Linked DNA regions of Caenorhabditis elegans. The protein of the gene in region 2 purifies or fractionates together with the protein of the main gene of each other region. This does not show direct contact. Each region holds a gene or a part of one and is shown on either strand. Other genes may lie near its edges.

What was found. The genes of interacting proteins can lie anywhere in the genome.
Region 1: the proteins of T24D5.3 (region 2) and C27C7.7 fractionate together in Caenorhabditis elegans (co-fractionation; one large-scale study listed by BioGRID). This does not show direct contact.

Annotation. Positions count from the first base shown.
Region 1 is NC_003279.8:11,418,815-11,425,634, reverse strand, and holds C27C7.7 (RING-type E3 ubiquitin transferase), read right to left. Parts: upstream 3,456-6,820; 5' UTR 3,446-3,455; coding exon 3,380-3,445; intron 3,325-3,379; coding exon 2,782-3,324; intron 2,519-2,781; coding exon 2,249-2,518; intron 2,203-2,248; coding exon 2,035-2,202; downstream 1-2,034. Other genes in the region: C27C7.5 (Galectin), read left to right, coding at 764-908, 955-1,142, 1,361-1,603; Y53H1C.3 (uncharacterized protein), read right to left, coding at 4,399-4,468, 5,603-6,820.
Region 2 is NC_003284.9:12,576,580-12,585,547, reverse strand, and holds T24D5.3 (RXT2_N domain-containing protein), read right to left. Parts: upstream 5,475-8,968; coding exon 5,464-5,474; intron 4,867-5,463; coding exon 4,750-4,866; intron 4,306-4,749; coding exon 4,261-4,305; intron 4,158-4,260; coding exon 4,101-4,157; intron 3,987-4,100; coding exon 3,936-3,986; intron 3,499-3,935; coding exon 3,442-3,498; intron 3,305-3,441; coding exon 3,251-3,304; intron 2,839-3,250; coding exon 2,732-2,838; intron 2,646-2,731; coding exon 2,335-2,645; 3' UTR 1,784-2,334; downstream 1-1,783. Other genes in the region: T24D5.2 (DUF38 domain-containing protein), read left to right, coding at 1-14, 57-365, 798-934, 979-1,141; T24D5.1 (DUF1716 domain-containing protein), read right to left, coding at 8,339-8,652, 8,873-8,968.

The sequences.
Region 1 (6,820 bases), on a different chromosome or scaffold from region 2:
ATTATAAATTTTTTATTTAAAAAAAAACGTTCACTTTTCGAGTATAAAATTTGGAAATTAAAAATGTATTGAAATTGAAATTTTACTAGGTTTTTTTCACGAAAATTTGTAATTAAAATGATAATTTCTATATGTTATTTTTCACTTTTTCATGAGTTTAAAGGGAGGAACATTTAAATTGCCGGAATGGAAAATTTCCGGCAAATCGGCAAATGGCCGGAATTGAAAATTTCTGGAAAATCGGCAAATTGCCGGAATTGTAAATTTTTGGAAAATCAGCAAATTGCCGGAATTGAAAATTTCTGGAAAATCGGCAAATTGCCGGAATTGTAAATTTTTGGAAAATCAGCAAATTGCCGGAATTGAAAATTTCTGGAAAATCGGCAAATTGCCGGAATTGAAAATTTCTGGAAAATGGCAAATTTCCGGAAATGTAAATTTTCGTTAAATCGACAAATTGCCGGAATTGAAAACATTTAGCAAATTGCCGGAATTAAAAATTTCCGGCAAATCGGCAGACCGGCAAATTGCCGGAATCGCCGAATTTGCCGGAAAACGGCAATTGCCAAAAAAAAGGCACAATTTTAAGTGTTTCCGTCTTGTAAAAAAATCCCTCTAAAAACTTCTGGATGTTCGGCAAATCGTCGAATCAAAATTTCCGGCAAATTAGCAAACCAGCAATTTTCCGATTTGCCGAATGGCAAAATATGCAGTTATGGCTAACCCTGAAGGGTATAACTCATAATATTAAGCAAACTTTCAGATTAACAATTCCACGGCAGATACTACCTGCCCTACAAGTATTTCAGGCTCTTTTCCATCGAAAATGCGGAGCATGTGGGAAACTTTCACCAATTCAAATTATAACATCACTTTTACCGGTGATCTATGGAAGTTTTCTTATCAAGGTGACTTCCCCACAATATAAAAATTCTCAAAAATCTCAAATTTCAGATAAAGTTACGCAGGCTGGGAGCAACTACGCCCTACCGTACACTATTATATTTCCCGACGGGCATTTTAAACTGAAACAGAGTATTGTGTTAATTGGTTATCCATCAGAACAGAGGTGGTTCCTCAATATAGAATCATCAATTGGAGAAGTCCTGTTTCATTTCAACCCGAGACCAGAAGTCAATGAGGTAGGCGGTAGGCGGTAGGCGAGCACCCAGTGCGATAGGTAGTTGTTCGGCAGCGGCCGACACTTTCGGGGTTCCGCACTAAATAAAGATCCATGGTGGCTGGTGGCGTGTGGCCAGCGAAACCCCGAAAGTGTCGGCCACTGCCGAACAACTACCTTATCGCATTGCGCCCCTCGCAGCCCTAGGCGGCAGGCATGCAGGCATGCTTCTTCTTCCAGGTTGTCCGGTCAACTCATCGAAACGGAGTTTGGGAAATGTATGAGAGTAGTGGAGGATATCCATTTACAGCTGGGCAACAATTCAATTTGACAATTACCAATAGCATCAGTGATCTACAAATGTACATTAATCAAGTATGGTTTGCTGATTATAGACATAGAACTCCGAATCCTGCTGAAGACTATGTGAAGTTGTGGGTTCAGGTGGCAGTGTACGTGGATTCATTGGAGATTTTGGGATGAGATTTAGAAAGATTTTCTTATAATAAAATCATCTGATTATATTGTTTTCTGATTTAAAAATACGACAATTACCTACAGATCCAGACTGATTTGGAACAAAATCACGGGGTTCTGGCCTTCCTCATTGAATTTTTCGCCGCGCTCTATTGACAATCGCCCACCGGACAACGCGTGGGAAAGTCGTGTACTCCACACGGACAAATGCATTTAGTTTTACCACTAAAATCGAGTCGCGACGCGACACGCAACGCACCGTAAATCTACCCCAGATACCACCAAAATGGCCTAGTTCGGCCAGAACTCTTCCATTTCAATTTATGAGGGAAGCCAGAAATCCGTGTAAAATCGCCAAAAAACAAGTCAATTAATTTTCCTGTTTTTTGTTACTTTCTAGTTGCTGTTAATTTAAAAATTAAAAATCAATAACGGCTTTATTTGAAATCAAATTTTTTACTGTTTCTTAATTCTTCAATTTTCCTGATAACTAGAACTGCGAGATCAGATTCTTCAAGCTCGCGAATGACAAATTCTGACCGGTTTTGCTCAAATTGCTCCAACGAAATCGGCATTTTCAGGAAGAACTCCAGTGTGCTCCGAACCTGAAAATATTCATTTTAAAAGCCTTCGAGCTCACTCTCTGCTCACCACAAACTCCTCGTCTTCCTTCAAATGCTCCGTGAGCACAGCTACCGTAGTACCTGTCACCGGTGACTGGTTATAACTTTCCGTTATAAATTTTTTGAAGGCCTCCAGCTTCTCCTGAGCCATTTCCAGATGCTCCGTGTGTTCGAGCATATCCCATAGCTCGAGAGCACATTTGATGCCATGCTGGTAGATCAAATATTGAATATTGTATTTTCGGTATAAAGCTAATGATGGAGCAAGGGTGCCGAGCAAGGTGATTGCGCTGGTGATCTGAAAAGTTTTCCAGTTAGAGTAGGCACAGAATAGGCGTACCACACTTGGGAAGCTTGCCTGACCATTCTAGGTTGAATAATGCCTTCTTGCCTGGTACAGGTGTCAAAGTGTCCCATTTTGGTTTGATCTGCGAAAAATGCGGGAGAAAAAATTCCCGCATTTTCTGTAGATCAAACCGTAATGGGACAGTCTGACAACACGTGCTGTAGGCAGGCATGTGCCTGCCTGCCAGGCTGGAGCAACTAATATGTATTACTTACCTTTAAATTGTCTTCCGTTTTCAGACATTCTGCCAGATAAAGCATGCAAATTTCCATCACAATTGGATTTTCACCCCCCTCATCCTCCTCATCTTCCACAAAAATTCCGGAATCTTCTTGCTCAAGCTGCTCCAAAATCTTCATCACCAACTCACTGGCTTCTTCTACTTGCTCCTGAACTTTCATTGCTCTTTCCAGAATTTCAAGTCGCTCAATTTCCTCTAACTTAAATTCTAACTTGCTCAGAATTCGACAGGAGGATCTAACAAGTTCCATGTTTTCCAGATTCATAAGACCTATGAGGAGTTGGAGCACAAGTTGAGAGCAATGCCGATTTGATCCGAGATGCTCCGCGAGTTTTGTGAGAAGTCTTGGCTGCTCCGCTTGAAGTTGCTCATTTTTCCACTGAAGAATCATTGACTTGAGATTCATGGCAAATGGGTTGTAAGGGCAGTTTTGGGTTATGAGAAGAGGGATATTGTGTTTTTCGAGAGTTTCCATAGATACTTTATAGTTATTTAAGTCTTTGATTGCTGGAGAGATCTGGAATAAATTGGAAATTTAGGGGGTTTCTGGTATTTAAATTCATTTAACTTACCATCTCATCATTTTCCGACGCTATGATTTTCGCCAAAACGTGCATTTTGTAGTTTATTGTGCTCATTTTTGGCGGTGGAGAAGCTGAAATTTAAATTTTTAGAACAGTAAAAAAAAAGATTCAGAAAACAAAAAAGCTTGATACAAGAACAATAATGTTTATTTTACTGAAAAATGCTCAATTAAAAGACGTTGAACCAATTTAGAGGAGTTTCAAAATTGTAAATTTTTACAATAAATTGCCAAATTTTAATAGTTTTTGATGGGTTAAACCTAGGTTTTCTGAATTCTCGGGACAATAAAAAAAGGGGTAATAAGGGAATAAAAAAATAGAAATAAGTGTGAACCTACACGGCCACCCTGCTCTTTTGCCTCCTTACAGGCGTCGGGTGTAACTTGGTAGATAAGATGAGAAGGTGCGTGTGGGAATGTAAGTGCTGGGGTGGAGGTTAAGGGGAAATGGGGAATATATAGGATTAGATAATATATCTAGAATTTTAGATAAACTTTCCCACTTTCCCAGCGATTTTAAATGGACAAAACTGTTTAAAAACCCGAAGGATATGGAATTTTGAAAACATTTCTGCCGAAAAATTCATTTTTTTTTTCTCGTATTTTTCCGTTGTTCTTGATGAGAAAGTGTAAATCAGGATTTAAATAAATTTAAATTCAGAAAAAAAAAATTTAAGTGCTCTGTACGACGGCACCGCCGTCGTCCAGGACAGATTTTAAAAAATTCATTCAATCCGAAAATCGGTGATCTACAAAAAACGCGGGAAACGAGACGCAGAGTCGAACGGTTAAAACGTGCTGACGCCACACTTTTCTAGGCGAGAATTCCCGCATTTATTGTAGATCAAACCGTGATTGGACAACCTGGCACCACGTGGCTGGAAAGAAACTGCCAAAATTTATATAGTTTTTTTGTATTAAAAAAATTAATTCCAAATTTATTAAAAATCCATATGTTAAGGAAAAGTTCGTAGAAAAATAATTTATTGAAATAAAAATTCGAGTTCACTAGGCCAAAGCGAATAGAGCACCAAATAGAATACTTGTCACACATCCGAACACGAACCACCAAGGAATTCTGGAATTAAAGAAGGGATTTGAGGATTTTAATATAGGTAGGCACGCCTAGTAGCCTACAAGTAACTGAGCAGCTTTAGCTACATGGCCTCATACCTCCAGTACCCCTACAGTGCACCTACAGTACCTTGACATTATCCCCCACCAACTCCCAACCCACTATCTCTTCAAAAGCTAAAGATTCAAACTTTCCTAAACTACAGTAATCCTACCGTATACCTACAGTACGCCTACAGTACCACCACAATACCTTGATATTATCCCACATCAACTCCCGACCCAATATCTGTTCAAAAGCTAAAATTCAAATTTTCTCAAACTACAGTAATCCTACCGTATACCTACAGTACCCCTACAGTACTACTACAGTACCTTGACATCATCCCCACCAACTCCCAACCCAATACCTGTTCAAAAGCTAAAATTCAAATTTTCTCCAACTACAGTAATCCTACCGTATACCTACAGTACCCCTACAGTGCACCTACAGTACCTTGACATTATCCCCCACCAACTCCCAACCCACTATCTCTTCAAAAGCTAAAGATTCAAATTTTCCTAAACTACAGTAATCCTACCGTATACCTACAGTACGCCTACAGTACCACCACAATACCTTGATATTATCCCACATCAACTCCCGACCCAATATCTGTTCAAAAGCTAAAATTCAAATTTTCCCAAACTACAGTAACCCTACCGTATACTTACAGTACCCCTACAGTACCACTACAGTACCTTGACATTATCCCCCACCAACTCCCAACCCAATACCTGTTCAAAAGCTGAAAATTCAAATTTTCTCAAACTACAGTAATCCTACCGTATACCTACAGTACCCCTACAGTACTACTACAGTACCTTGACATCATCCCCACCAACTCCCAACTCACTCTGTGTACTGTCAGACAGGTTCTATTTGGTGCCAGGCTGCCCTATTACGGTTTGATCTACAAAAATGCGGTAATTTTTTGCCCACAAAAATGTGACGTCAGCACGTTCTTAACAATGCGAAATCAGTCTCTTCTCCCGCATTTTTTGTAGATCAACGTAGATCAAGCCGAAATGAGACACTCTGACACTGCGCGTGGCCACGTGCAATTTCTGTAGGTCCACCGAGTGAGAAGCCACTAACCTGTCCAATCTCTCACGTTCATTTGGATTCTTTGCCTTTCTCCTTTCCTTCTGCTCCACCCGAACATCCAGCTCCTCCGGCTTTTCGAACTTCTTCGAGAAATTCGCAAAGAATACGTCAAGCTCCCTCAAAGCCACATTCGCAAAGTGCACACGGTAGGAAGTGAAATCCAAATCCAACGAGTTCAGTGATACATTGACATTTCTCAGAATCTCCTTGACAGTTACATTTGTTACAAGTCGTGCCAGCTCTCCAACAGAATTCCCTATTGCTTCGAAGTCTCCCTCGATGCTAGGAATGCTCCGAGCTTGCACAAAAAGTTGTTCGTAATCCTCGAGAACAATAGACTCTATAGAGTCTGTAGCCTGTTCTTCGAAGCCTTCCAATGATAGGTGAAGCATCCGGAATTCTGATTTCAACAGTACTATTTTCTGGAGATTGTACAAATGAGGAACGTCATCCATAACTGATACAGATTCTATGAGAACATTAATATTATCTATGACATACTTCAACTGATCCTTCTTCTCCACCAAATCGGATAGTTTTTCGAGTCCTTGAACTGCTAGGCGAAGATTCTCAGCGTAAGATTCTACATCCTTAAACTCTCCCAGAGCATCTGTTTCCACTGTGTGAAAATTCTTCATCGCTTTCATATGTCGCTTCATCACGAACATATCATCTACAGCGGATGTAGAGTTTTTAAAGACACCTAGGAGGTTGTTGAATGAATTTTGATACGTTGAATTGTAAACATGATCGCTGATCCTTTTCGTCGCAATGCTTAAAGAAGCTTTGTATTTCAGGTAGGCGTTATTTTGAAGGCAGTTGAAATAATCAGCGTACTTCTCTAATTCATCTTTGTGTTGTGAATATATCCAACCGATGTCCAATTGAGCGTACCTGGCATAAACATTAATGTCATGTATAGGAAAGGTATTGATGAGCTCTAATTGTTGATTTATCATTGATAAATGTGCCTTTAAACTTTTTAGCTGTCCAGTTTCGTTAAGTTTCTTAATCACAACCGTTTCATGTTCCCTGTGGATTTTCAAAAAATCTTGTCCAGCATCCGAGTTCCCCGAGAGAAAAAAAGACAATTTTATGGCCAGCATAGTTAGGTTATTGAATTCTACTTCTATCTCATCAATAAACATTTTGAGATCAGAAATAGCTCTAAATCTAAGTTCTAACGGAGTACACTCTTGGTCAGCAGCA
Region 2 (8,968 bases):
ATCGCTCGCAGCAGGTAGATAATTGCTAAATTCGACAAGGTTACCTAACATTTTAGATGGGAGAGATGGATCTATCAAAGTGTGTAAGTACAATTACCGCCGAAAACCTTACTGTTGTCATGGATTCTTTCCCGAACATCATTGAGATTGTGAAGCTTCATCGTCCAATGCTCAATAAGTTCACCCTAATGTGCTCCGGCGAGTACGGAAATATCATGGAACTAGAGCAAGTGCGCAATGCTGCCAACCTGAAACTAGACGGACTTTCAAAGATTACTGATGATCAGCTCAATTCCATCACTGCCACAAATTTTGAGATCACTTCTAATATAATCACTGATCAAGGAATCAATAGATTCATTAAGGTAATGCGGGAATTCATAGAGCAACTTGATTAGTTAGACACAATCAGCAATGCAACTTATTTTCTATAATCTTCATGATATCGCTTGTCAGTGTTATAATTTTGAGAAAGATGATTGATTTAATTAATTAAAAAATTCTCATGAATAATACCAAATACTTTTTTACTTAGGATACTTAGTCGATCCGTTCTTTGCCTACGGCCTGGAGCACAGTTTTCCAAGCTTTTCGGTTCTTTGCTTTTTAGTGTTTATAGAAAAAAGAACTATCCGATCAACATTTATTTTGTATAGAAATACAACTAATTGAACGAAAATCTTCTTCTTTCAAAATGTTAATGATTCTAGATCAAATTAGACACAAGCAACAAAAAAACTCCCAGAACCATTAGTCCTCTTTTAAGTGAAACGAAATAACTGTAATTTGATTTCTAGGCGCGTCTTGCTGATGATATTCCGGACAACTACTTCGCATCAGTGGGATGTCGGCACGGAAACTGGAAGATGAAGGAAGTGCTCAGTGGCTTGAAGTACACCGCATATGACGACGAGATGGCATATGTCCGCAAGAAGTAAATTTTCCAGTACATTTTTCATCTAATAGTGACGTTTTCAGTGGAATGATTCCAATCAACGTCTTTGAAGCTGATTTGGTAAGCTTGCCAACCACTAAACCAAATGAACGATTGGTAGTGATTATCAACAAATATTACTTTGAATGCTTCAAGGAGTCCATGAAGCCAGATCTTCTCGTCCATGATACCACCCAGTTGCCATAAAATCTTTGATCTCTTAACCAAATATCATTAGAACAAATTTTTACGTTCATTAGCCGTAGTGTTTGAAACTTGAGATTAATTTCTAAGTGCTAAACTTTTTTCTAAAGTAATCAAATTTCCATATTTCGAACTCATTCTAGTGGTAATGCAAAACTGGAATTCAAACATTCATTACAACTAGAATGCCTCCAGTACCGTTAGGAGTTCTCTTAACATGCCAATTCACTATTTTTGTTTAAAGTTTACAAGCTGTCTGTCTTCCGTTCTTGAAACTCCCATTTCCCTGACCAAATGGCATAACCTGAAAACCCTGCTTACATAACGATCTATCCCTGATTTTTTTACTTTTAAATGTTCCATCCATTTGTCTTAATCATAATCATAATTTTCCCACTGCAATTTTTACTCCTTATCCGTGCTTCTTTTTTCTTGAGACATTTTCAAATTAGTCATGTGTAGTAAAACCCCCAATATCAAACCATAACACTGTGAAACCCTCTGGAATAATGAATACGAAAGTAGTAGCAAGGTTGCCGTGTAGTCCTGTCCCTTCTCCTTTTGTCTTGTTTGTAATTTGCAGCTGCAGATCTGAAGTTTATGAAATCAATAAATCTGAATATATAAAGTAATAGTTGTTTCTGTTTATTAGAAAACAACAGTTATGATTTGGGAGATAGAATATAAAAAATGTGAAAAAGAGTGAAGATATTATACTTGTAAATGTTAAAGGACAACAGTAAGAAAAAATGAAAGAAAATTGAAACGTTCGGAGCCAACTTGAACAAATAAAATGAGAAAGAAATTAAGCGGACCGAAAAGGGAAGAAACCATATTTGAGCTTGAAATTGGAGTTGGACGATTTTAATCAAACGGAACGTGAACAAACTCCGATGGTTCAATTGAGGTCGTGAATCAAGTATGAGATAAATTGGTCCGTTCAGAAAACAATAGATCTGAATAATGAAATTGCGGCCAGGGAAGAAGAAAACAATGGAAACGGTAGAAGGGAAAGGATGTTTTTCGGGAAAAGAGAACATCTGAGCAAGAGAATAAGAGATTTAATGACGGGAAAAAAGAGATTAAAAGTATCAACAATATTACATAGTAATGAGGATAGTATCAACAAACAACAACAATTTTAAATTCTAAAAATTTAAATAGGATAATCGGGAATGTCAAAACCGATTTGGAATCTAGAAACACAGTTCAGCCTTCATCGCAGCCTCTAGAGCGGCAAAATCCGCGGCATTCAACTGCCGAAATTTATTCTCCAAATGAAGAACAATAGTGAGAAGGACTGGATTATTTTCCTTCTTCAGTTTATTTTCCAAAACATTGTATAAATAAACTTTGAGTTTATCATCCTGCTCAAGCTGACCACGCCGAGCCTCGATAAATTCTTCAGCGATCAAAAGATCCTCAGCAATTTCTGCTCGCTTGAGAGATGCTCGGTCCCACACTTGGGCGGGCAGGCTTTTGAAAATTTCGTTAGCGTGTTGTTCCCCTGTAAAAATTAAAGTGACTATTAAAAACAGGGCAATGTGTGAAATATTTATAAACAGAAAATGTATTTATCAAATTCAAACCTACCATTTTCACAACCTGAGAGATATTTCAATTGTTGCATGAGAAATTTCAGATTGGCTTTGATACGGCCAATGTGAAACTCTTCCGGCTGTTCAGGAAGTGTTTGTTTGCTGCAATTAAAACCTTTTTAACACTAAAAACAATAATAGGCAAAAATGTGATTTATCAGAAGAAAATCATTCTAAGTAGGCTTGATAACTTCAATTTTAACATTTTAAAAATTTTTCCTTAATTTCGACTCTGGAAAAGTATGTATGTATATTCTTCATTAGCACTTTGCTACCGCTAGTCCTAATTTGAAAACGGCTAATTCTAAGGAAATTATGGGAAAAATTGTCTTAATTTCAAAAAAAAAGTAATTAAATTCGAATAAGATCGTGAAATTTTTTTGAATTTTATTTTCATTTTGAAGAATTAAAAAATTTAAGCATAACCCGAAGAAGCCAAATTCAAAAGTTCGCGTTTCTGTTGAAAGAATATTGAAATTTAATTTTTAAAATTGTATTAAACTTTTCGACTTACACTGGCAATTGGCAGTTTTCCTCGTTTTCCCAGATTTCGATTCCATATTTACAGCTAAAAATTGACTTTTTTGTCTTTTTCGTTCTTTTCATGTTTAAATCAAAAATGTTCGTTGTCGTATTTGAAAATAAAATTTTTTATTCGTTCCAGTACTATTTGTAAACGTGAAACTTAAAACCGATTCGTATTACCTGTCCTCCGCATCTGAAGAATCACTGAGTTGACTGATGTCTGGTTGGAGTATCACCCTAAAATGTTGTAAAATTAGAATAAAACCTTGATAATAAAATTATTTCACGCGCTCTAAATTTTCTAAATGTTTACCCCAACAGGCCTTCAGAAAGTTAGTGCTGCACCCCTTTTTTATTGCGAGAGTCATCTCAACAGTTTCGAAATTTTGGGTAATGTTTTTGTTTATTTTGTTTTTGATTACTTTTAATTTATAAACATAATTGAAGTATCATTTATTTTTGCTACACAAATTCACACTCCTTATGAATTTGTGTTTAAAATATGAGATTTTGTGACTAAAAGCTAGCGATCTCCAATTGACAAAGGGGTGCGAAAATTAGTGCTGCAGCCTCCAGTAGTACTGAAGTCTATAATAGTGCTGCATTCAAAAAGTTTCTGGAATTTAGTGCTGCATCGCAGCACGTATAGAGAATATACGGTAATAAACGCTTACTTGGAGACCGGGTTCTTTTGCTTCTGGACTGACGATTTGAACGAATTGTAACTGCAAATATATAAATTGGATAATATGACAAACGGATTTAGTTTCGGTTTAGGATTTAGTATAATTCAAATAAAAATTTTTTTAACCCAAAAAAAAAAAAAAAATTCTACTCACCTGTTTCCAGTTTCCAAAAAGACATCACGTTGGTTGACGTCTGGTTTGAGCACGACTCTAAAAATTTAGAAAATTAAACTTTTAAAAATTTTGATATGTTTAATTAATTCAAACATTACTTCTGTTAAGAAAAAATTTGATATATGTAATAAACACTTACTTGGAGTCCACGTTCTTTTTTTTCTGGGGTGACGATTTGAACAACCTGAAATTGCAATTATAATATATAAATGAACAGTATTACAAACGAATACAATGCCAAAATAATTTAATGACTGTAATAAAACTTTTCAAAACAAATTCGAAACTTTTTTATTTCGAACCGACAAGTAGTGGAAACTGAGTGTGTCGAAAACTTTAAAGCAGTGTCGCAGACAATATTGAAGTATGAATGTTTCAAAACTACCTAGAACGTGAAACTGGAAGAAAACACATTTTTTGATTGACGACTTCTAAAAAATAGTGCAAACTGAGATTTCTCCGTTTTTTTACTTGAAATAATACCAATTTTTTTTTGAAAATGCTTTCGTGATCTTTGATCATTTTAGCTCGATTTAAATAACTTTTAATCATATCCCCACAAGCCGTAGTCCACTTTTAAAGAAATCAGTATGAAGCGCTTTTTTCATTTTTTAACCTAAGGACTTACATGTATTCGGCATTCTTTTTCTGGATATTTTCGATCTCAAATAGTTCATCAAGCTCGTAGAGCCAGTTGTTTGATTTTCTCCTTTTTGCTAGCTCATCGTGTTCGTCGTTTTTATTTCTGAAAATAACTTTTATTTAATGTTGCATTCAAAACAATTATATTTCAAATGTAAGATGTATATATGTTGGATACTTTTAAAAAAATTGAAAATGTAAAATGGGAACTACTTTTTTTCAATGTTGGTTGTGACACCAAACATTTAAAAAACAAATGGAGCCCCTCCCCGAAAAATTATTTTGAATGAAATTAAGATAATATGTGTATTGAGTTGGTCCCAAAAACCCATACATAAAAACCCATATACTGGCGTGGTCCATTTTGAATGTTAAAAAAGAAACGAGTTTCCTCAAACCATCAGTTACTGGAAAACAATTTCTGAATTTATTTTCAAATATTCCCTTTTTTAGAGTAGTAAAGACTTATTAAACTTTTAAATTTTATAAACTAAAACTATGCCAACTTACATACAGTTAAAACTCCGTTTCAAATATTTCTTATTTAACTAGATTCAATAGCTTAGAAAATAGCCGAGTTTCCTGTCTGAGAACAAAAGCATATTAAAAGCAACAATTATTCGTTGCATTAGTTTTTTTTAATTTTCAAAATGTTTGCAACGTTGAAATCACCTAGGATAAAAAATTTATGAAAACTAACCGCTTGGGCATGTTGATTGTTTCCAACAAAAAAAATTGACGATGAAGTTTTCTGAAAAAAATTATTCTTGCCAGAATGTTTACAGAAACATAAATTAATTTTTAAAGGGATGATTTCGTACAGAAACAGAAGTGGAATCATACCAGCGGCAATAACAGAGTCACTTAAACCGAGTAAATGCAGTTTTGAATGAATTTCTTTGCTCCGTTCGAACAGCCGATATAAGTTACTTCCATACAAAAACTAGTAGCGAGAAATGTCTGTTAATTTGTCCTGAATCACAATTAAAGTAAAAAAAAAAGACAAAATAAAGATGAGCGACATGGTTTATGTTGATCAGTTAGTGTGCTAGAGATAGAGTGGGAGAGAGATAGAGAGAAAGTGTTATGGGCATGGGCGCAGCAACAGTTGAAGGAAGGAGGCCTGAGAGGAGAGGGGCTCACAGTAACGAAAGCGGATGCACCAATCAATGAATATGTTTACATTACTGGAATGGTGAACGCGCGTATCCGAAAGGTGGTAAATCAAATTACATATCTCGTTAGTGAGATGGTTATTGTTCGTAAAAAAAGAGTTCTCAAAAAGTCTTAACCACAAGGTCATAGTTACTTGGGGATCTAAAAAAAAGTATAGTAGAAAATATGTATGAAAATCAACAGTGTGTACATTCAGCCTTTATTCTTGATTTATCTTGATTTGAAAATATTTTCATTTGACAAAAAAGGCCAAGGAAATAAATGCATAAATATATGAATACATTTGTCAGAGCACAACATTGCAATTTATAACCATAATTTTCTCAAATCAAGTTGCCTGCTTTTTGGGAAACATAAAAGAATTTGAATTAGTGTTATTACGTAGTCTTACAAAAATCCGAGGACGAAAGCCAATGTTTTGAAAACAAAACAATTTGTTGCCAAAAAAGTAAGCCGGTAAAACGGAAAAACTGTGGAGAAACATTTTTAAAAAAAAGTATTTCATATGCTGCAACTTTGGTAAAACCAAAAATGACAAAAGTACTAACTGATAAAGTGAAGCGATAGAGCTATGAGACAAGTTGGAAAAATACGGTAAATTTGTATTTCGCAATAAAAAATTAGATAGCTTCCTGAAGTTGTTCAAAATAAAAGTCTCAAAAACTTTGGATGTCGATTTTTCAATTGTTCCTTTTGTTTTTTCTTGTTTACCTTGAAACTCTCAAATTCCTGAAATTAGGGGTGGCTATAGGTCGACCTAGGTCGACCTGCGACCTAGAGGGTTAGGTCGCGTCGCGACCTAGGTCGCATTGCGACCTGCGACCTAGCGACCTGCGACCTAGCGACCTGCGACCTAGCGACCTAGGTCGCATTGCGACCTGAATTACCGACATTTTGTTCTCTTTCGGTTTTGCTTCACTTGAGTTGTTAAAATCCGTATAACTCGAAAACTAAAGATTGCAGAATATGTATACTAACAAATTGCTACAAATCATTGAAACCCATAAGTACCATAGTTTTCAAGTTGAAACAATTTTAGTCAGCAGCAAATCCGGCCTATGTCGGCTGTTCTAACTTTTTTCGACAAGGTGTCTTATGGATAAGAAATCGAAAACAATGTAAAATAAATGATTTGTAGCAATTTGTTAGTATACATATTCTGCAATCTTATGTAGTTTTCGAGTTATACAGATTTTAACAACTCAAGTGAATCAAAACCGAAAGGGCACAAAATGTCAGTACTTCAGGTCGCAAAGCGACCCAGGTCGCTAGGTCGCAGGTCGCAAAGCGACCTAGGTCGCTAGGTCGCAGGTCGCAAAGCGACCTAGGTCGCTAGGTCGCAGGTCGCAATGCGACCCAGGTCGCTAGCTCGCAGGTCGCAAAGCGACCTAGGTCGCTAGGTCGCAGGTCGCAAAGCGACCTAGGTCGCTAGGTCGCAGGTCGCAATGCGACCTAGGTCGCTAGGTCGCAGGTCGCAAAGCGACCTAGGTCGCTAGGTCGCAGGTCGCAATGCGACCTAGGTCGCGATGCGACCTAAATGAAAACAGCGACCTAGCGACCTAGGTCGCACTCTTGCCACCCCTACCTGAAATCCATAAATCTGAATATATCGAATCAATGTTTTTATGGAAGAACAATAAGTTTAAATCAAACATGCACAAATACAAAATCGGGGAAGCCACGTTGAGAAAAAATTGAATGGGAATGAAAATCAGAGAATACATAAAATGTCAGTTTAGTACAAGAACACTGTAAGTTTTGAGCAACACATTACATGCAAAGTATGAACGGGATGAAGATATCATAAATGAAATGATTTACGGGTAACGTTGAAAAAAAAACATACATGAAGAGGTCAGAGTTTTGAGCCAGCCGGAGCAATTGGGATGAGACAAGAATCAAGTGGAAATTGAAAAAGATCAAAACAAAAAAACAATCAGTTTCGTGCACGAAAATTGTTTGAATGAACTTGTATAATTAATCAAACTGTGTAAAATATTGCAACAAAATAGAAACGGGGCGAAGTTATCATAATTGGAAAGGTTGATAGACAAAAGTAAGGAATCGAAGACGGAAAATTAAGAAATTAAAGCAAATCGGAGCTGCAAGGGAAGAAATCGGGTGGAAATGAAAATCAAAAAGATTCAAAAACCAGATCTGTGCACAAATTACATAAAATCAGTAAATTTTTAATCATTGGTAAATTTGGAAAGAAAATATCATCATGGAGGTGGTAATTTCACGGAATAATAAACATGATCGAGAGAAATGGTGAATCACATAAAATTTGGGAGAACAGGTTTAAGTGTCGAAATTTGAAAATTTGAAAAACTAAAACACCAGAAAAATCTCAATATTAAATTAAAGAATACGCAAAAAGCGTCCAACCAGCTCACAATCTAAAGACCCAGCTCAGCCTTCATTTCGGCTTCAAACGTGGCGAACTCCACAGCATTAAGTTGACGGAATTTAAATTCCAAATGGAGAATAAGACTGAGGAGAACTGTATCAAGTTCAATTTTGATCTTATTGCTCATCAAAGTGTAGAGAGTAACGGCATGATCATCGTTTCCATCGAGAAGCTGGCCAAGTCGGAGTTCAAGAAATTCAATGGCAATAGGCTGATCGTCCAAAACTTCGCTTTTCTCAAGATACACGCGCCTTTTAACTTCAGTTGAAAAGGCGCGCAGGATGGGTCCCATTTCTTCTCCTTCTGTAAAATGAATAAATGATACAAATTTAATGAAAAAACTTAAACTGTAGTACTCATAGTCAGTCAAAAATTTTAAAGGAATGTCTCAGTATCGAATTCGCTCTTTTGGAGCCATTCCAAATTTGAAAGCAAAAAAAAATTTTAAAAATGCTCTCTCTTCAAATGTGTAAAATGAAAAAGCATTATTTTTTTTTCTATTTTTTTAATTAAAAAAACATACCGTTTTGATTTATCTGAGGATCTGAGAAACGCTCCAGTTTTTCGAGAAAAATATTTAGGTTGCATTCGAGGAGGTAACCATCTTGATCTTTTCGGG